2 linked regions of the Tamandua tetradactyla genome follow. The protein of the gene in region 1 interacts with the protein of each later gene in a pairwise test. Links are inferred from orthologs where the notes say so. Each region holds a gene or a part of one and is shown on either strand. Other genes may lie near its edges.

What was found. The genes of interacting proteins can lie anywhere in the genome.
Region 2: the proteins of DZIP3 (region 1) and ZCCHC10 interact in binary tests that used the Homo sapiens proteins (3 or more experiments, as listed by UniProt). The link is inferred for Tamandua tetradactyla from reciprocal best matches to the Homo sapiens genes DZIP3 and ZCCHC10.

The regions. Positions count from the first base shown.
Region 1 is NC_135336.1:38,445,010-38,455,654, reverse strand, and holds the start of DZIP3 (E3 ubiquitin-protein ligase DZIP3), read left to right. Parts: upstream 1-5,327; 5' UTR 5,328-5,617; intron 5,618-10,645. Other genes in the region: protein CIP2A, read right to left, coding at 5,012-5,113. UniProt on the Homo sapiens protein: E3 Ubiquitin ligase proteins mediate ubiquitination and subsequent proteasomal degradation of target proteins.
Region 2 is NC_135346.1:11,881,395-11,892,039, reverse strand, and holds the start of ZCCHC10 (zinc finger CCHC domain-containing protein 10), read left to right. Parts: upstream 1-3,402; 5' UTR 3,403-3,466; coding exon 3,467-3,507; intron 3,508-10,645.

The DNA.
Region 1 (10,645 bases):
GCCTCTCTCCGGAGGCGAGACAAGCACTCGGTCAGGTAGAACAAGCGCTCAGTAGCACTGCTTTAACAAGAATAGACCCCCAAAAACCTCTTGAAGCTTGTCTGCTGCCAACCATACTACAGCCCACAGCAGTGTTATGGCAACAAGGGCCATTACTTTGGATCCATCCTGGAATCTCCCCAAAGAAAAGTTTAGAGCATTACCCTACGGCACTCGCAGATTTAGCATTGGAAGCAATCAAAAGGGCTGTGCAGCATTTTGGCCAACAACCTAAAGATCTCAGGGTACCTTACACCGCCCAACAACTTGAGGTGCTTACTGGGTGCATAGATCAATGGGCCATTCTTCGATGTACCTTCCAAGGAAATATTAACAACCAGTTCCCAAAAGATCCCCTCTTACAATTTATCACCCGGCACCCGGTAATTTTTCCCAAAGTAACCTCGCCCAAGCCCCTGGTAGGCGCAATCACCGTGTATACGGATGGTTCAAGCACTGGTGCAGGAGCATACTGGGTAGAAGGGCGTACCCCAAAAACAGTACTCTTTCAGCCACAGAGGCCTCAATGGGTTGAATTACAAGTCGTCATCGCAATCCTAAAAGAGTTTGACGACCCCCTGAATATTATATCCGACTCCAATTATGTCGTGAATTCTGTGGCGGTCTTAGAAACGGTAGGCATGATAAAATATTCCTCCCCAGTAAGACCGTTCTTTATCGAGCTTCAGGAAACTATACATGCCCGACAGTGTCCCTTTTACATAACCCACATTAGAGCTCATACAGGCTTGCCAGGCCCTATGGTACAGGGAAATAACATAGTAGATATGGCCACGCGACAGCCACACATTTTCCCAGCGCTGACACCCCATCAGCAAGCTCAAGAGTTTCACGCTAAGTTTCACATCAATGCAGGCACTCTAGCCAAGCGATTCAACATACCGCGCGCAGCTGCTAGAGACATAGTCAGAGCCTGCCAAAATTGCACAGAGTCAAGAGTGCTTCCTTCAATCGGAGTCAACCCTAGAGGCCTCATTCCGGGAGACATCTGGCAAATGGATGTCACTCACCATTCAGAGTATGGTAAGGCCAAATATCTACATGTGTCAATAGACACATGCTCTCAAGTTATGTTTGCCTCCGCTGAAACAGGAGAAAAGGTCCATCAAGTTATTGCTCACTGCCTTGCCGCCTGGGCGGCATGGGGCAAGCCAAAAATATTGAAAACAGATAACGGACCTGCTTATACCAGTAAAACCTTTCAAAAATTTTGTGAAACTATAGAAGTGCAGTTAAAGCATGGTATCCCTTACAATCCCCAAGGGCAAGGTATCATAGAGAGAGCACACAGATCTCTCAAAGAATTGCTTAAAAAACAAAAGGAAGGAATGGGCCACGGCCTATCCCCAAAAGCCCAACTGTCAGTAGCCTTGTTTACATATAATTTCTTAAATGAAAACTCACAAGGAATGACACCTGCCCTCCAGCATACCACTCCAAACCCATCACATAGAGGTTTGGTCCGATGGAAAGATGTCCTGTCAGGACTGTGGCAAGGCCCTGACCCGGTGCTCAGCTGGGCCAGAGGCTCTGTTTGTGTCTTTCCCCAGGAACCAGGACGCCAGCCGGTGTGGATTCCGGAGAGACTGGTGAGAACCGTGACACCGCCCGGGGGCGCCGAGAAACTGCTGCCCGACAAGTCAGCAAGCTTTCGACCTGAACCATCAGGCCCGGTCTCCAGCCCTACTGATGATGGCGACGACCGAAAAGATGACAACAACAGTGCAAGTGACCCTCCGACCGAGTAGAAGAGAAACTAGCTTTAACCCCACTTTTCCCACTACGAGCTACTGTGGGACTAAGTCACCTCATGGTTCTCTTGGCCCAGGTTGACCACTTGGATTCTTTTAGCAGTGGGACTCTTAGTAACTCTGCTCATTGTTGATTGTTTGTTAGAACGCTTGTTCCAGACGCAGCAACAGCTACGCGTCACCACTATGTTGGCTATGTCACTTGCCCCTGATGCCCCTGGCGACCCCCGCACCGTAGCCCTGTCCTCCCCCCCACTGCGTGGCCCGTCACGGCCACTCAAGGCGGGACGCTCGAAAGTAAGGTCTGCCGCAAAGCCCATGGCTGTATCCCAGGTATAAGTGGCGGCACCAGAAGTCATAATTTTGGTCGAAAGAGAGTCTCTAGGCAAAGTCGCGGTCCTGGCCAGACTAGACTTAAGCCATTGCACAGAGACACCTACGACACTCTCGACTCTGGTTGCCGCTCTCCTGCCCCCCTCATAACCCGGTTGCGAGGCGAAGCACTGCAGGGAGGGTCACGTGGTTTCCGGTTCACGGGCCCTCCGGTCTCTATATGAGGAGGCATTCTGGTTGGTGCCTAGCAAGCCTAGTCCAGACTCCCCAAAGCACCAAAACATGTAGTGGGCCGTTCCGGCCCACGGGAGCTCACTCATCAATGGAGACACCGGGTCAAAATAAGTAAAAAAGGGGGAGATGTGGAGAGCCGCCACCCGGGTCAGGCCTAGTGGACGCGCTGCAGCCTGCTCTAAAGCTCCCCCCGCCCATCGAGTGAGCCAAGATGGCGCCCACATCCTGCTTCCGCGTATGACACACACGCCCACCAACCCGATCTACCAATCACCCTCTTAGACGCGGCAACAACCTATTGGGCTTGAATTATGTATATAAGGTATTGCCCGGACGAGGCGGGGGAGACGACCCACAAGGAGCCGTGCCTGACGGCCGCACAGAGGTCGCTCCCCCGCGGGATGTATTCACCCGGTCGGGGAAAGTTATAGATAATGCAAGCTTAGACCCAGTAAAGATTTGTACTTACAACTGCTGCGTATTCTGGACTCGTTTTCTACCGCCAGGACCGGTTTGTCTGCGTCTCTTTCTCTCTCCCCCTTTTCTTGTCGTACCCTCCGCCGGCCGGGGGCCCGACGTTGAGCGAGGAGACACGGACAACGTACCATTAAAAATACAAATGATCACCCACTAAAAATGGGAAAATAAAAAAACTGACTGTTTTAATTCAGGGGCTGTTGTGGAGGAGTGGATGAGAGACTGCAAATCTCATATACTGCAGTGTGGAGGGTAAAATGGTATAACCTTTGGGGAAACTGTTGAGCAGTTTTTAGCAGTTTCAACTAAAGCTGAACATAAGCTTACCCTACCACCTAACAATTCCACTCCTCAGCATATTAAAGAAATGAGTTTGTTCATTCATAACAAACTGCTATATATTTACACAATGGAATTCCATACAGCAATAAAAAAGAATGAAGTACTTTTATATGTTGCAACATGAATGAACTTCAGATTTTTGTGTTTTTTTGAGTGAAAGAAGCCAAACATGAAAGAGTACAAATTTTCTGAGTCCACTTATATGAACCTTATGGAAAGGGATAATGAAACACTTTATAGGGGCTGGACAGGTTCTATATCTTGATACAGATGATGGCTCTATGAGTGTACAAATGTAATAAAAACCATCAAGTGCCTCACTTAAGATTAATGTACTTGATGTATTTTACTGTATGTATGTCATCTCTCAATTGAAAAAAAAAAGTTCTTAAGAGTAGTCGCTTCAAGCTAGTACTCATCACACCCTTGCAACAAAATACCCCAATGCCAGAACAGTTTTCTGTGAATCTTTCAAGAAGTCAGTTTTTAAGCCACAAATTGCTTTGAAATCTCCTTCAATTCATGCTAAAATTGCACTGAGAATCAAAATATACCTCTATTCTCTGAGAGAAGCAATGTTTCAGACTGCTAACTAAAATAAAATACTTAATGTTTAATTCTTAAATAAAGCTGATGGCCATGTTTATTTTGCGGCTTCTGGACTGCCACCAGCACACTGCTCTATCCTAGTTTGAAACTTAACTGTTATGTTTGCTGGGACTTATTGTGATAATGGATGAAAACAAAAACAAAAACAAAAACAAAAACAAACCTACTTAGGATGTGGGTATCTCCAATAGTTCGAAGAGGAGCCCCACTGAAGCTCAGGAGAACAAAGACACATTTATAATACTATAGTTTCACCAAAAGTTGGTGCTGTTATACCATTCACAATCATCTTCTCTTTGCAGTATTCTGCCAATCCTTGGTACATCAGACCTTCATTAGAGGGGTAATAAACCAAGTAGAATAGATTTTTAAATTACGTTCAATTCTATGTTAGCAGAGGAATTCTACAAAGAGAGAATTCTTAAAATATGCCTTGAATGAGTGAGCTTAACTTTTTTTTTTTTTTAGGTGCATGGTCCAAGAATCGAACCCGGGTCTCCCGCATCGAAGGCGCGCATTCTACCACTAAACCACCTGTGCACCCTACTTTTTATTTAACAGATTAACATTTGAATTCCACAAATGCGTTAACAATTGATAACAAGAGTCTCAAAATAATAAGGGTCACAGGGAATTATGTGCGATTATAATTTTTTCCAAAGAAAAGTTATAACAATAATAATCTAAACACAAATCACTGGGAACTAAGAAAAAGTGAATACAATTCAGCATTTTAGGATTTAAAAACTGTGAGCAATATATTTTTGTAAAGAAACATGATTACGATTACTAGAATTGGAGAAAGGGATTGCTTCTTAGGCCAAAGAAAGTTGAAATAGTATTTTTCAAGTACAAGTTCACTGCATATTCTGCGAGGGCTCTATTTCGATGGCAAAACCAGAACAAGAAGCAAAAGAAGAGAAAATACAAGTCCGAGCTTTCTCCTCTAATCTACCAGAAACACAGCCTAAATTCCCTAACCTTTTATTCCACTCTCCCCTTTCCCAGAGCCTTCTTTCGGCGCTCAACCTGATCGCTGCGGACAGCTAACCGTGGAGGAACTAGGGGCGGGGTGGAGAGTGAGAATTCAAAGCTGACACTCCCTCGCTTTTACCTTAACAAACAGCCCAGGGAGCGAGAGGCCTTCCAGGGATAGGGCCGCCACACCCCACCGCCCATGGACTAAGGATTATTAGATCCCTCACCTCCAAGTGCCGCAAAAGCTGGGTGGCGTTCGCCTCAGACTTAACGGCTTTGTACTGACTGATGATGAGGAGCAAGGACTTCAAGCAGGCGGTGGAGTCCATCGGGACCGATCACGGGCCCACCTGAAGATTTCCACCACCTTGTCTGCTCTGGTCTCCAACTTTCGCCGCGCTTTTTTGATTTTTCGGCCCCACCCCCTCGCTCCCCCGAGCTTCCGGTTCCGGTCAGCCCCCGGAAGTTCCTAGGCACGCTGGGGGGGCTGGATCTCGTTGAAGAGTAGAGGGGTGGTTCGGAGTGCCCACGCACTCGGTGGGTTTGTGGGGGAGGCGTTAAGGCCCGGTCCCTCCAAATCCCCTCTTTTCTCTGAGCCCGCGGGGTTTCGGCTTCATGATCCCGTGAATACGAAAAATCTCGCGAGTTACGCGATTGTGGCTAACCGATGTAGGGGCGTCAGGGGCTTCTGTGGCGTCTGGGGCTGGCTGTTCACCTGTTTGCTTTGCTTTTGTTTTCGTTTGCTTCTTCGGCCTTCACTCTGGATGGCCGGTTTTTCTTTTGTACATCATCTTCTACTTGGGAAATGGTGGCTTTGCCCTAGTCTAGACACGGTGAGGAAATCTGAGGTGGAAGATCTTTGGGCACTAGACTTTGAGGCGGTTTGGGAGGTTCATCATTTTAAATCTCTTATACGTTTATCCCTTCTACCTAGTAATGTTTTTCAGAGTAAACGTTTAGATTTTGTGTCGAGATATTCGTGCCTTTACGGTAGTCTTGTCAAAATGATTCGAAAACACTGCCTCCGGGCGACTCGGGTGTCAGTAGATAGTGTATTGCTCTTCCGGGTGGTTTCGTTAGAGTTTGTTTTTGTAAATGAAGGTGTCAGTTTTTGTCTGGTGTGATTGTTTTATAAATCTCGGTGTTTGGAAAGATGACACTTTGTATTTTTTAAATCGGATAATTAGTGTATGCAAGAATATGTTATGAAGTGAGTGAGTAGATGGTTTTGGAGTCTTAATTTGTGTTAATGTCGAATAAAGCTTTAAAAAACCAACTAATGATAAATTGTAAGCATAGAGTGCATGACCATTTAGTTAACTCATTAATCAGAAATCATGTTTTCTCAATTCAAAGAACGTATTTTTTATATCACTACATTTTTAAAGGCAAGACTTATTTCGATATTAAAAATATAATTTTTGCTATTAAATCTGAAAGCCTCAAATGATTTGGCCAATGAGACATTCACGTAAAAGTCTTTGGTTAAGGAATGTATACATAACATTCATTCATTCAGTAAACAATTATTAAATGTATAACATGGGGCTAGGCATTGCCAGTCAAGATACAAAGATAATTTCTTCACTGCTGTGTAATAAGGGAAATGAACTAAATAGAAAGTACATATGGGAATTCATTATGCAAATGAGAGACCATACAGTGATGGTAAATGGTGGAGGCAGGCTGTGTGGTACAAATCCTAACTCTACCTTTTACTATTTGACCAAAGGCAAATTCTCATTGTATTTCAGTCTCTAGGTAAGGTGAATAAAGTCTAACTAATAGTAATACCTGTTTCATAGGGTTGTTCAACATTTTTGAGACCCTTTAATGTTCAAAGATGCAAGCGTCAGTGAATGAAACAAATTCTGCTGCCATTGAACTTACACTCTGGTAGAAAGACGATAAACAGTTAAAGAAGATAATTTAGAGAAAAAAAAAACAGAGCAGAGGTATTACTCTGGAGTAATGGTGGTGGTTGTGTGGATAGTTATAATTTTAAATGGGGTCATCAGGATAGGTCTTATTGAGAAAGCAGTATTTGAGGAAATACTTCAAGGAGTTAAGAAAGAGCCCTGCAATTTAGGAGAAAAGGTATCCAGATGTTGGGCATATAGGAAATAATAAGAGCAAAGATAGAGTGATAAGGGCAAAGGCCTCGAAATGGGCATGGCAATGTGTTGTCAGGGACAGCAAGGAGGCCACCATGGCTGGAGTGGAGAGAGCAAGGGTAAGAGTAGTTGGAGATAGAGACCATTATAATATTAGTTAATCAATGTAAAGAGAACATTTACCTGGCTTAAGTGGGTTCTTGGTGAATATGGCCATCATTGGATGGTCATTTGCAAATGTAGTGATAAGAATTTAGCAGTGGTATAAATTTGAAAAAAATAGGCTTTTTCACTATACTGGCAAGTATATAATGACCCATATGCTGGGTTTGGGGAGAGCGTAAAAACTGCCTGCTGTAATGCTTTCTTTTTTTTTTAATAGCTTTATTGAGATATAATTCACACACCACACAATTCATAGATTTTTTAATGCTTTCTTAATTAGAAATCTTTCATTTTAAGCGGCCATACAAATTTTGCAGTTTTCTCCATAGAGTAGTTATTTTGATATAAAATGTCTTCCTCTAAAAATCCACACCAAAAATTGATGTTGTAAGTTAGTAGAAGACATCTTTAGCTAGAGATACTTGCGTATCCTAATTTAAGAAACACAGAGCCACACTTTTAAGGTCAAAATAGTGTAGAGGAGGAGGAGGCTATGAAGCTAGATTCAGTTAACTAAAGGTGATGTTAGGCTAGAGCTTGGATTCCATCCTGAATTAAGTGGTGATCTTTGCTTTAGACTAGGGCTTGACCTAGTAAGGTTTGTATTTTACCTGATAACTGGCTGATGGATGGGGTATGATTTTGAAGAGGATGAGACTTGAAATAGGGAGACTGTATAATTTGCTGGACTGTGTCTAAAGGATAACTAGTATAATGGAAGTGGACAGAGTGAAGAGGTGACAAATTTGAAAAATATATATATATAAAGTAGAATAGGCAGGACTTGCTGACTAATTGTGGATGTGAGAAATGAGACAGTGAGTCTGAAAGAATTTCTGAATTTCTAGGTTGGGAGTTTTAGAGATGTAGTTTGCTGAGGTAGTTAATAGCAAGTGTTCATGGTGTATTTTGTGTGCAATGAAATTTTGTATTCTTTGTCATATAATATTTTGTCATTCTTAGTGTATTCCTATTACATGCTTTTTGTTACTGACTGGGTTCTTTTTTTCTCATAAATTTCTCATTTTTATTGCTATTCTTAAAGATACTGATTTTTAGTAAATCTTTCATCCACCTACCTAAAATATCATTTATTTATTTATTTATTTATTTAGGCATGGGCAGCCTCCGGGAATCAAACCAAAATCTCATTAATTTTATTAGAGTTTTGCTTACTATCTTAGATTTTCTAGACGTATCAGTAAATAATGATTTCATCTCTTCTTTTCCAGTAATTTATTACATTGTCATAATCTCTTAAATGTGACATAATCATGGTGGTAGTGAGCAATTTGTCTCATTGTAATAGGAATGATCTCAATATTTTAACGTTTAGTGTGATTTGTGCTGTTGACTTATGATACACATCTTTGTCATGTTTAGGAGATTGGCTTTTTATGCTTGTTTTATTTAAAGATTTGCTAAGAAGTGTTTGCTAAAATAAAACTTGTAGTTTATTATATCTTATTTTCCCCTTTAAAATGTCAATGCTGAAAAAAAAAGGAAAAATGTCAATGCTATGGCTTATGTTTCTTTTTGTCCTTGGGATAAAAATAGCTCACACTTAACATTTACCATGTGCCAAGCGGTGTTCTAAGGACCTTATACTTATTTAATCTTCATACTAACATCATGATCTCCATTTTACAGATAAAAAAAGCTAAGACAGAGGTGACGTAATTTTTGCCCATAGCATACAGGTAGGTAGTAATAGCAAATCCTCTGTATGCTATGCTGCAGGATTTTCCTTTTTTTTATCAGAGCAGCTGTAGGTTTCATACACACTTACCCCTACCCCCCTCTACCCTCCACCTCTGTTCCTGTTAGTAACATTTTGCATTAGTGTGGTACCCTTATTAAAATTGATGAAACAATATTATCATTGTTATAACAACAATATAATATAGGTAATAGTATTATCTATAGTTCATCATTTGTGTTAGAGTTCACTCTTGGTGTTGTGCAATTTTTTGGGTTTTTGAAATTTTAATTATGGTGACATATGCAACCTAATGCTGCAAGTTTGAATGTTCTGATATTCAGGATTTTATATCTATGCAGAGTTAACCATTTTTTCTGTATTCTCCCTCTTGGCATTTGGGTTAGAGTTTACTTTTGAAAAATGTATTAAAGTATTTCCGTCTTTTTCTGAGCTGTGGAATAATGAGAATTACTATAGAAATCAACTGCTCCTTATGGGTTTTATGGACCTAACCTATAAAATCATCAAACTTGATAGCTTATTTAATGGCAGATCTTTGGCAAATATTTGAATTTTGCATATGATCATTGATCTGTTCATTTTTTTCCTACTTTTTCTTGAGGTAATTTTAGCAATATACATATTTAGCCAACTGTTTATCTGGATTTAAAAATGTATTGTCATAAAGTTGCATTAAATACTTCAATAATTCTCTTAATCTTTTCTTTATATGAATATATTTTCTCATTCTGATGTTATCTTTTTCTTAGTGGGGTTTCCAGAGGTTTGTCCATTTTATTTAACTTTTCAGCAACTGACTGGTTTTATTTATTAACTCTCTATTTCCTTTCTTTTCAGAACCACTAACTTTACTTTTTATCTTTATTAACCTGCATACATATTTTTCTTTATTTTGTTCTATTTCAAATTTTATAAAAATTGAAGTTTAGTATACTTCCATACTATTTAGTACAGTTCTGTACATAATGTTCCATATTATTTCATTTATTTTTCATAAAGAACATTTGTTTTATGCATTAAAAATCAGAAAAATTGCTTTATTTCTGAAAAACAATTATGTAAAATCAGTTTAACCATCTAGTAAATATATATTTTTAAAATGCTGATATTTATTCAGTCATCAAATATTTACTGAGTACCAGGTACAGTCCTTTTTCAGTGAGCTTACAGTCTATTGGGGACATAAACAAACTGGAATAAGTGCTACCAAGGAAAGTAGAGACTACTATAGGAGTACTATAGAAGTAATTTTTGTGGGTAAAATATCAAATATCCAATTCTTTCATTCTTCAAGGACTCAATATAAAATCCCTCTTCTCTGTTAACTCTTTATTACTGCTTGTACTTTTTACATTTGGCTTAGTTATTTTCTATAATTTATAGTTGAGGGAACAGGCTTAAGGGAGCTAAATAAAACTGGCTTAGGGTCTCACACCTCTAGTTCAAGACTAACTCTTCTATTTCCTCTGGAAAAACCTAAAAAGAATATATTCAATACTGAATAGTAAAAGGGAAAATTTAATATCTTATAACCAGAATTTAGGTCATATGAGTTGGACTAAATAAGGATGTGAATCATAGTTTTATCAGAACTACCACATTTGTAGAAGGCCCAATATTGTAAAATGAGAATTATCCCAGGATTATGAAACCACAGCACTAGTTGTTCATTCATTCATTCACTGAATTGAGTGCTTGAATGCTAGGTACATTTCCAGAATCTGAAGATGCAGCAGTGAATCAAATACACAAAAATTTCTGGCCAAATCGAACTTTCATTTTGATGGAATATACAGACAATAAATAAAATGTAATTAAAATATATGGATGTTAGTAATAGATGTTCAGGGTGGATGGGG
Region 2 (10,645 bases), on another chromosome or scaffold:
TGAACTCATTGCCCTCCGTCCTATGTGGGACATGACCTTCAGGCGTGTATAGTTCCCTGGCAATGTGGGACATGATTCCTGGAAATGAACCAGGACCAAGCATACTGGGATTGAGAAAACCTTCTTGAACAAAAGGAGGAAGAGAGAAATGAGACAAAATAAACTTTCAGTGGCTGAAAGATTTCCAACAGAGTCAAGAGGTTATCCTGGGGGGGTTTCTTATGCATTATATAGATATCCCTTTTTAGTTTACGGTGTATTGGAGTGGGTAGAGGGAAGTACCTGAAACTGTTGAACTGTATTCCAGTAGCCTTGATTCTTGAAGACAATTGTACAACTATAGAGCTTTTAAGGTGTGACTAGGTGATTGTGAAAACCTTGTGGCTGATGCTCCTTTTATCCAGGGTATGTACAGATGAGTGAAAAAAAATAAGGACAATAAATAAATAAATAATAGAGGAGGATAAGGGGTAAAAAAAATTGTGTAGTTTGCAATACCTGTGGCCAGTGATAGGGTAGCGTAAGGGAAATGGACTGTATGGGTTTATCCTTTGTCTTTCTATTTCTTTTTCTGGAGCGATGCAAATGTTCTAAAAATGAGCATGATGATGAATACACAACATATGTTTATATTGTGAACCACTGATTGTATACTTTGGATGGATTGTATGGTGCATGATGATACCAAAATAAAAATATTTAAAAAAAACATTGGATGGGTACTACCACAAATAGATCATTGGAAGAAAGAAGAATGCACAAACATACTAATTTGTGTATATTTAGTATATGACACGGTGGCATTTCAAACCAATAGAGAAGAAGCAGATTATTTATTAAACGATGTTCCAATAAAGTAAAAATTAGGATTAAGTATATAATCATAAAAACAAAGCTGTATATCAATTACAATTTAAGAATTACAGTAAAATAAAGAAAATATTTCTAAAATAATTTTGAACATAAAAGCGAAATCAAGGACTCCGTAAACAAAAAGATTGTCAAATATGACTATATAACAATTTACTGCATCCTGTTTTTTTTTTTTGGCTGCTAAGCAAATTACCATGCAATGATTCATCTTAAACAATGGGAATTTATTTGATCATGGTTTTGAGGCTAAGAGAAAGTTCAAAGTATGCCATCATCAAGGCAATGCTTTCTTCCAAAGAATGCACTCTGGGGTTGCCTGATGGCCATCCTTCCTCCTTAGCTTTTCGGTCACATGGCAATGCACTTGGCTGCCTCTCCTTTCTCTTCTTTGTTCCATCGCTTTCAGCCTCTGACTGCTCCCTCTGTGTCTTTTTTTCTGTCTGAATTTCATTCAGCTTATCAAGGACTCCAATAATAGGATCCTGATGGAGGTGGGTCATCCTTTAACAGAAATAACCTCATCAAATGTCCTACTTACAAAGGGTTCACACCCAGAGGAACGGATTAAGTTTAATCTATTTTCCACTTTTTCTAGGATACTTAAAGCTCCAAAACACCACTCTCCTTTTGGGTAAATGATCACAAAGTTAAAGGACAACAGACAAATATTTGTAATATACAAAACAAAGGATTTATAAGTAAAATATTTAGCTTTTACACATCAATATGAAAAGAATAAAAATCCAATAGAAAAATAAGTTAAAAATGTTACCAATCATGAAAAAAGTATAATCTATGACGATCATATGAAAGGTACTTAACCTCATCAATATATCACATTGACTTACTAGATAGGTAAATGTTTAAACAGTTTGACCATTCGCTATTCTCCGGAGGGAACAGGTTTGGATATAACTAAATTAAAGTCCAATCTGGTAATATCTATCAAAATTAGAAGTGCATATATCCTTTTATGCAATTCCACTTCTAGAAAGTCTTCTTACAGTAACACTTGAGTTAAGTGCTTGTGGGGGCCCAGGGACCAGGTCCCCTCCTAAAAGGCATGTAGCTGGTCTGCTTTACCTAAGAGCAAAGGTCAAGAAAGTAAACAATCTCCCTAGAGGGGGCAGACATGTAACCAGAGACGTAAACGGTATAGATTGTATCTGAGTCTTAAACACTAATCTTAGTAAAACATCAGGTCCTACGTCCTTTAAAGATTATACTAGGGAGACGCTAATGTCCTCATACTATATGGAATGTCGTTGTCTAAACTCAAACACGCATTGCCATCCCCCACCCCCGCACTCCTATTCCTAGCCAGGCACTATCACTCTGGACCGGCTGCCACTGGAGAATCTTTTCTGTTCATAAGTGCCAATAAATCTGTATCTACTTCTGTGCCAGGCATGTTTTTCGGTCTCACAGCAGCACCAGCTCATGCTTTGCCTGAACTGGGTCTGGGTGGGAACAGTGTTTAAAGATCTATTAATTCTATCATTGTGGTAAATGACCCAATTGTACATCAATAGAGTACTGGTTGGATAAATTGTGCAGTAGATATGTAATCCATACAATACATAAAAAGAGTGAATTAGATCTATATTGTTGATATGGGAAAGATGCCCATAAATCATTGAGGAATGAAAAAAGCTATCCTAACAACAGAAACGTAGTAAGATTCCAATTTTTAATTAATAAAATAGGCTCAAAGGTCACATCATCAGAGACCTTCCCTAATTCCCATAGCTAATCACTCTTTATCCCCTTACTCTAAATTATTTATCCTTAGAATATTCATAAGCTCATTGGAAATAGCCTTCTTGGGCTTGTTCATTGTCTGACGAAAGCACCATGTGTACAAGGATTTTATTTGTTTAGTGTCCTAGTCCCTGCTCTTACAACATTTTAGGTCTCAAATAAGTATTAATTGAAATAAATATTAATGGGAGACGGAGAAACACGTATGTATATGCAAATTTATATGTTTTAAAGAATCTGGAATTAAAGAATAATCTCTCCATAGTCTGACATTAAACGTAGGTGCAGCTAAAATATCCCAAAATAATATTTGTATAACCCTTTTCCAGGTAAAATCATATAGTCTCATCTGATCCTTTTGGCATCCCTGTGAAATGCATAAAAATAAAAATAATTAACACGTTTACACTTTACGGTTCGCTAAAGTCATTCTTTTTTGATGCTCACATTCCTGTTTAATTCTTTCCTTCCTATTTTACTCTGCAGGGTCTTCCAGTTTTCTGAAAACTGAATACTCTTTCATTCTTTTTTGTCTTTGTATAGAAATAGAGTACTCCTTCCAGAATGTTCTTCCCTGCCTTACCTACCCAATATATGTGTACTCATCCCTCAAAACCCTGTTCAGGCCCAGAAGAGGGCCTCACTTATCTTCCTCAAATCAAAGGACCCACGCAAGAGGGGCTTCCGCACCGCGCACCGACCCCCGCCCACCCTGTCTACACTTGGAATCTGCCGTCTGGCTCCGCCCAGGTCCCTGCCGCCGGATCAGAAGGCCCCGCCCCTCCTGAGAAGTTTCCCAAGACCCCGCGCGGCTGTCCGGAGCTGCGCTAAGATGGCGACTCCCATGCATCGGCTCATAGCCCGGAGACAGGCGTAAGTGAGGGCCCGAATTCCGCGACAGGGCGGGCTGGGGGCGGGGAGACTCGCGTCAACCGGCCGGTGAGCGGGCGCTGAGTTTGGAGGCCGGACTTGGATCCCCAGTGGGGAGCGGGGGAGTGTAGTCGTTTCTGTATAGGGCGCCTGCCCCCAGAGAGCTCCGGCCAGTTGGTTTGGTTCCCGTGGGCTGGCGATTTCCGAGGACGTAAGGTACGCGGTGCTGGACACAGTGTTGAGGAGAGCCGCGGTGTTTGGTTCCCTCTAAGGGAACGCTTAGCAGTTGGTCACTAAGTGGTGTCTTGACCGTCACCCTCCGCTCACCCCGTCGCCCACCCCACGCGCGCCCAGATGAGGCCTGAATCCCTGTTCGCACAGTCCACTCCCACCTGGTAAACCTTCAACCCTCCTGAATAGCTTCCAATCTAGCTGGCTTTTCCCACGCTTTCCCAAAGAGGAAGCAGCCTGTTTACAACGCCAACTCTTCCCCCAATTTCTGCCAGAGATTCTGTCCTCCCATGAGTGTTAATTTATTCAGGACCTACCGCTCTCTATCAGAATCTGGGTATAAAGAAAAGGCGGTGTTCAAGACAGAATCCCTGCTTTCACAAAGTTTACATCCTAGTGGTGGAAATATTGGTAAACTAAACAAATTAGTAAACACAGTTGGTGAAAAGTGTTTTGATGGAAAGGGAGAAAAGACTACTTCGGGTTGGGTGAACTGGAAAGTCATCTCTGAAAAGGTGGTACAAAGTGAGACTGAAAAGGTAAGATAGGAGCCAGTTGTGAAAGATTTGAGAGAAAAATAACCAGACAGTGGCACAGTTGATCTGAAGCTGGAAGTAATTTAGTTTTAAGAACTATGAAAGGCCATTTGGGCTAATGAGCAAGAGTGGCACAAGCTGAGTTTACAGAGGTTTACCGCTTCTTGTGAAGCCTTTCTTCTGCCTACTTGCAGACCCGAACAGTGTCTGCCACTTTTTCACTCTCTCCGCATTTCATGCCTTCACCGTTGGCACACCTATAGTCTCATATAGCTCATAGTCTGCTATACTATATATGCATAAATATGCTTGTATTTGTTTAAATTTATTTCCAGAACCCTGTTCTTTTCTCTCCTCCAACTGAGTCCAGCCCAGGTGCCCAATTAAAGCGAGTTCCTTGAACATAAGGTTATTGGGTGCTGGTGTAGTAAAGTTGGTGGTAAAGGGCTTTGAAGTTAGTTCTGAGGTAAAGAATGAGGTGATAGTAATACTTAATAGGAGTGCTAAGTGATGTCGTCAGGGTCTCATTTCTTCCTCTTTCCCAGGTTTGCTCTTTTGGGTGACCTCACACTTGGATAGACTCTCTCCTTTGGTCTCAAGATGGCTGCATTATCTAGGGTTCATTATACCCTCTCAGCTTCAAGTTGTTTGCATCTCATTGGTCTAGATTGGATTACATGCCAAACCCTGAACCATGTGTAGGAGATTGTGAAGCCCTGATTGACTTAAATAGCATTCTTCTCCCAGCACAATTCAGATGCTCACCATCAAGCAAATTGATGAGCTGGGTGGGTAGATAAAAGGTGGTAAGTGAATGCTGGATTGGCAAAAACAATCAATGTCTACTGTAAGTGTGAGGTGAAAAATAAGACTTTTAGCATCTAAAGAAATTTGCTATTACTTTTTTCGTATGTATCATGAAGTTAGTTTAAACAGATGTTCCATTTCTATAGTGTGCCTGTATTTGGTACATGAGTACACAGAAGTAAAAACAAATCTTTACTTTTAGGAGCTTCTGGTCTTATTGAAGGAAACGTGGTATATGATAAAAGATGTCATGGTATACAGACTGTACGTTCCTCAGGGATTCAGACCCGTTCATCTATCCCTGAAAAAAAAACAAAGAAAAAAAAGAAAAAAATTCAACAAATGGTGCTGCAATAACCAGAAACTCACACAGAAAAAGAATGACATGTGAGCCCCAGCATACCAAAAAAAACAACTAGTGGAGTCCAGGAGTCTGGAGTGTATGTTTGTGGGGAAAGCAGGAGAGGAGCTTTCCTCTCTTTTACTTCTCGTTTTATATTCATCAAAAGGGTTTAATCATACCTGTAAGGGGTATATATCACTTCCATAATAACAAGTGTAAAACTTTTAAAATTAGTTATAAAAAGTGAGAAAGTATCTGGATTAATAGAGAAAACAGGGAAATAAAAGGGAAAAAAGCAAGCCTAAATTTGCACTCCCCATGCAGTATATCTCAGTCGATCTCCTTTAAATCAATTGGAATGAAATTATTTCCCATCTTATAAATTGTAATATATCTGCCATTATGTAAATAGATTTTCCAGGGGCATTTCTTCTACTATACCCTCTACTGGCTTCAACTTCTCTCTTTTCAGTATCCAGAGCAGTTATCTACCCTTGGTCTGAAGACCTTCTGTAACAACAAACTTACTCTCCTAAAGTGGCCTTAACACTTAGATTTTTCAAATCTAACAAGAAAAGTTATCTTCATGTTGAGCAGAAAAGAAAATAATATTTATGAAGCCAGAGCCTGCTTCCTTCTACCTTCTCTGCTTTTGGCTCAAGCTGTGATTTCAGTTTTTTCCTTTTCCACATGAATTGCTGTCAAGGCAGAGCTTCTCTATCTTGTATTTGCATTGAGTATCTGGATTTAAGTGTCAGACTTACCTTTATCTTTGTTAAATTTCAAGTTGAGTCAACGCAGAGTTTCAGGCTGTCAAGATCTTTTTGGATCCTGACTCAGTCATCCTCTTTGGTTTGTGTTAATTGCAGATTTGGTAACTATGTACAACTGTGTTCTTTTCTGAGTCATTGATAAAAATGTTGCAAGACCACACTGAGGACCAAACCCTGCAGGCCACCACTGTTCCTTTGTATATATTTGCTCTGACCCATTAAGCAACGCTCTTGGTCTGTGATGTTCCATTAATTGTAAATATAGATCATACTGTGTCCTGTTCAAAAGGATATTGTGAGACTTTCTAGATGGCTTTATGAAGTACAAATACCCAAAGACAATAAAGGTATTATTAGTCTATGATTTGATACCTAGTGATCGCGGCCTCTCTTTCTGAGTGGATTTTATAAATCTGGCCAGAATTTTGCCTGATATGGGTGTCAAATTCACTGGTCTAGTTTGTGAAATCTACCCTTTCCCCCTCTTTCAGAGTCAAAGAGCATTTGCCCACCCCCAGTCTTTCAGTAGCACTTCTGTTGCCAGGGTTCCTCAGATTACCAGTGGCAGTACAGCAGTCTTACCTGGAAAATCTTTTGTGTGTGTAAGGAAGTAATTCATCTGGGCCATGTCACTTGATCAGCTAAGAGCTCAGTTACTGGCTCCTCAGGTGTATTGGGCTTCATTTCTACTCTTTTTAATCTGCAAATAATTGTGTTTGAATGTTAAGATTGAAACATAGTAAAAATAGACCTGCTTTGAGCATTACCAAAACAATAAAATAAAAGTTCTTAATGTTCTTGATATTTTTCATTAGACTCTGTTTATTTTACAAAGGGTTTCAGATAGTTCTCTTATAGACTATGACCATGCTTCTGTACTCCTTAATTATGTGTTCCTTTAAAAAATTATTTTATAACTTAACATATAATCCATGTTCATTGTAGAAAAGTTTAGAAAATATGGATAAGAAAAAAGTATATAATCCCACCCCAAAGATAATCATTGTTTACATTTTATTTTATAAGCTTTTTGAACATTTATAATATCTTAAAATGGCCTCAGTATTCTCTGCATGGATATACTGTAACCTTTTGGCCAGTTCCTGTGCTGTTGGATAGTTAGGTTTATTATTTTTTTTCATGGGCAGGCACCAGGAATCAAACCTGGATCTCTGCCATGGCAGGTGAGCCCTCTGCCACTGAGCCACCGTGGCCCTCCCTGTTAGGTTTATTTTTATAAACTATATTGTACTCCTTTTTGTTTGTTTGTTTTTATAGTTTTATTAACCCTCATGTGAAAAATCTGCGCAGGCATGGATCAAATCCCTGAAGGGTCTTTACTCCTTTTTTGCCAACACCAACATGGCCTTTGCAGTATCCCTGACTTTCTTCATTCTGCTCTTGCATTCCTTTCACTGTTTCCTTGAGGTCTTTTTCTTCTCACATAGGCCATATCTTTAAAGTCTGTGTTTGGGTTCATTTTTCTTTGCATAATCTCAAGGAATAGTAAATCATGTCAAAGACAGTCATCTTGCCGCCAAAAGCAAGCGAGGTTCCGAATCCAAAGACAAAGTTGACATCTGGTGTAGTCTTGTACATTTTTGCTATTTTTTTCCCAAATTTCTGTCTTAAGTACCTCTGTCTTTCCAGGGTGAAAGACATTGATGACTGTTTGTTTCCACTGACATAGTTGGTTGGTCATGAACTTCCTGGTCCAGATGGTTACCATGTCTTTCATGATGGTGGCTAATCCTCAGGCATCCAGGGAGGGGGAACATATATATATATAAAATAATACTTTTAAAGGATATTTCTGTAATTAAAACTTTGCATACAACCATTATTATTTCTAGGTTAAATGCTATGGCCATTTTTTTAAAGTCAGTCTTATTGAAGTGTAATTTGCATGCAGTAAAATTCATCCATTTTAATGTGTAGTTCTAGGAATTTTGACAAATACATATAGTTATGTAACCACTGCCTAAACTTGTCTCATTCCTCTTTGTAATAAACCTTCAGCCCATCCTGATCCTCTAGTAACCACTGATCTGTTTTCTGTCCTTATATTTTAGTTTTATCAGAATGTTCTTTGACTAGAATCATCCTTCTTTCATTAAGGTAATGGCTTTGAGATCCTTCAAGTCCTTCCATGTAATGGTTGCATTCTTTTTTTTCTCATTGTCAGTGGGATTCTATTGTATGGATGTACTTGTTTATTTATCTACCAGTTGAGTGACATTTGAATTGTTTCCATTTATGGGTTATTAAGAATAAAACTTCTAGAAACATTAGTGGGTAGGCTTTTGTGTTAACATACGTTTTCATTTCTCTTGAGCAAATACCTAAAAGTAGGGTTGCTGGGTATATTCTAAGTATATATTTAACTTAGAAAGTAACTGTCAAGCTGTTTTCCAGAGTTCTTTTTTTTTTTTAATAGTCATTCTGTTGTTCCTGTATAACAATATCGATAGCTGAAAAGACTGTCCTTTCTCCACTGGAACCCTGGTACCTTTATCAATAACAATTGTCTATACATATGTACAATCTATTTCTGAACTCTGTTCTGTTTCATTGACTTATTTATTGATCTTTATGCCAGATACTACATTATCATGGTAACTTTGCCTACAAGCTTTGTAATAAGTCTTGAAATCAAGTAGTGTTAGTCCTCTAACTTTGTTCTTTTTTCAGAGTTGTTTGATTATTCTAAATAGGTCGAATTTTAATCAATTTCTACAAAAGAGCCTGCTGGGATTTCACTTATGGTTCATTGAATCTGTAGAGCAATCAAATTGCCCTTCAAAGAGTTTGTGCCATTATTCATTCTTTCCAGCAGTCAGAGAGTCAGAGTGCTCATTCTCCATCTCTGCCAACAATAGACATTAAAAACAACTTAGTCCCCTTTGGGGAATGGTGAGAACCAGGGAAAACTCAACTTCCCCAAGTTGAATTCTTGATATTCTCACAAGCAGTGTGGACAACCAAAGCTATAGGCTGAGCCCCCAGTCTTGGGGTTTGTTCATATGAAACTTAATCCCACAGGGGATAGGTCAAGCCTACTTAAAATTAAGCCTAAGAGACTTCCGGAGAAGATGGCGGCTTAGTAAGATGCGCGGGTCTTAGTTCCTCCTCCAGAACAGCAACTAAAGAAACAGAAACAATACGAAACAGCTCCCGGAGCCACGACAGAGACCAAAAAGACAGCGTACCCCATTCTGGAACGGCTGAACGGGCAGGGAGAATCTGCTGCGGTGAGATACCCGAGGGGCGTGTGCTTTCCTGGGCCGGGGCGGCTGGCAACCGGGGTTCCTTCCACACACGTGGCTTCCCGGTCCGACTGGGAACGTTGGATAGCGGGGCCCTCCTGCCACGCTTGGTGTCTCGGGCCAGCTGGGCAATTTGGACCGGTACTCCCCCAAGCCACGGTGGCCGGCGACCCCCCTCCACGCGCAGTTTCCCGGGCCGACTGCGAGATTTGGATTGGCAAGTTAAAGGAGCCACAGCATCTTTTACTGGTGGGACCTGCAGACAGACGAGCACCACGAGCGCCACCTACTGGGCAGGAAAAGAAAAACAGAGCCCAGAGATTTCACAGAAAAACCTTTCAACCAGCCGGGTCCCACACCCAGGGAAATCTGATCAAATGCCCAGACACCAGCAGAAAATAATGGATCACGCTCGGAAAATTGAAGATATGGCCCAGTCAAAGGAACAAACCAATAGTTCAAATGAGATACAGGAGCTGAATATACGAACAGAAATGGAAAACCTCTTCAAAAACCAAATCAATAAATTGAGGGAGGACATGAAGAAGACATGGGCTGAACAAAAAGAAGAAATAGAAAATCTGAAAAAACAAATCACAGAACTTATGGGAGTGAAGGACAAAGTAGAAAAGATGGAAAAAAACAACGGATACCTACAATGGTAGATTTAAAGAGACAGAAGCTACAATTAGTGAACTGGAGGATGGAACATCTAAATCCCAAAAAGAAACAGAAACTATAGGGAAAAGAATGGAAAAACTTGAGCAGGGGATCAGGGAACTGAGTGACAATATGAAGCGCGCAAATATACGTGTTGTGGGTGTCCCAGAAGGAGAAGAGAAGGGAAAAGGAGGAGAAAAACTAATGGAAGAAATTATCACTGAAAATTTCCCAACTCTTATGAAAGACCTAAAATTACAGATCCAAGAAGTGCAGCGCACCCCAAAGAGAATAGACCCAAATGGCATTCTCCAAGACACTTACTAGTTAGAATGTCAGAGGTCAAAGAGAAAGAGAGGATCTTGAAAGCAGCAAGAGAAAAACAATCTGTCACATACAAGGGAAACCCAATAAGACTATGTGTAGATTTCTCAGCAGAAACCATGGAAGCTAGAAGACAGTGGGATGATATATTTAAAATACTAAAAGAGAAAAACTGCCAACCAAGACTCCTATATCCAGCAA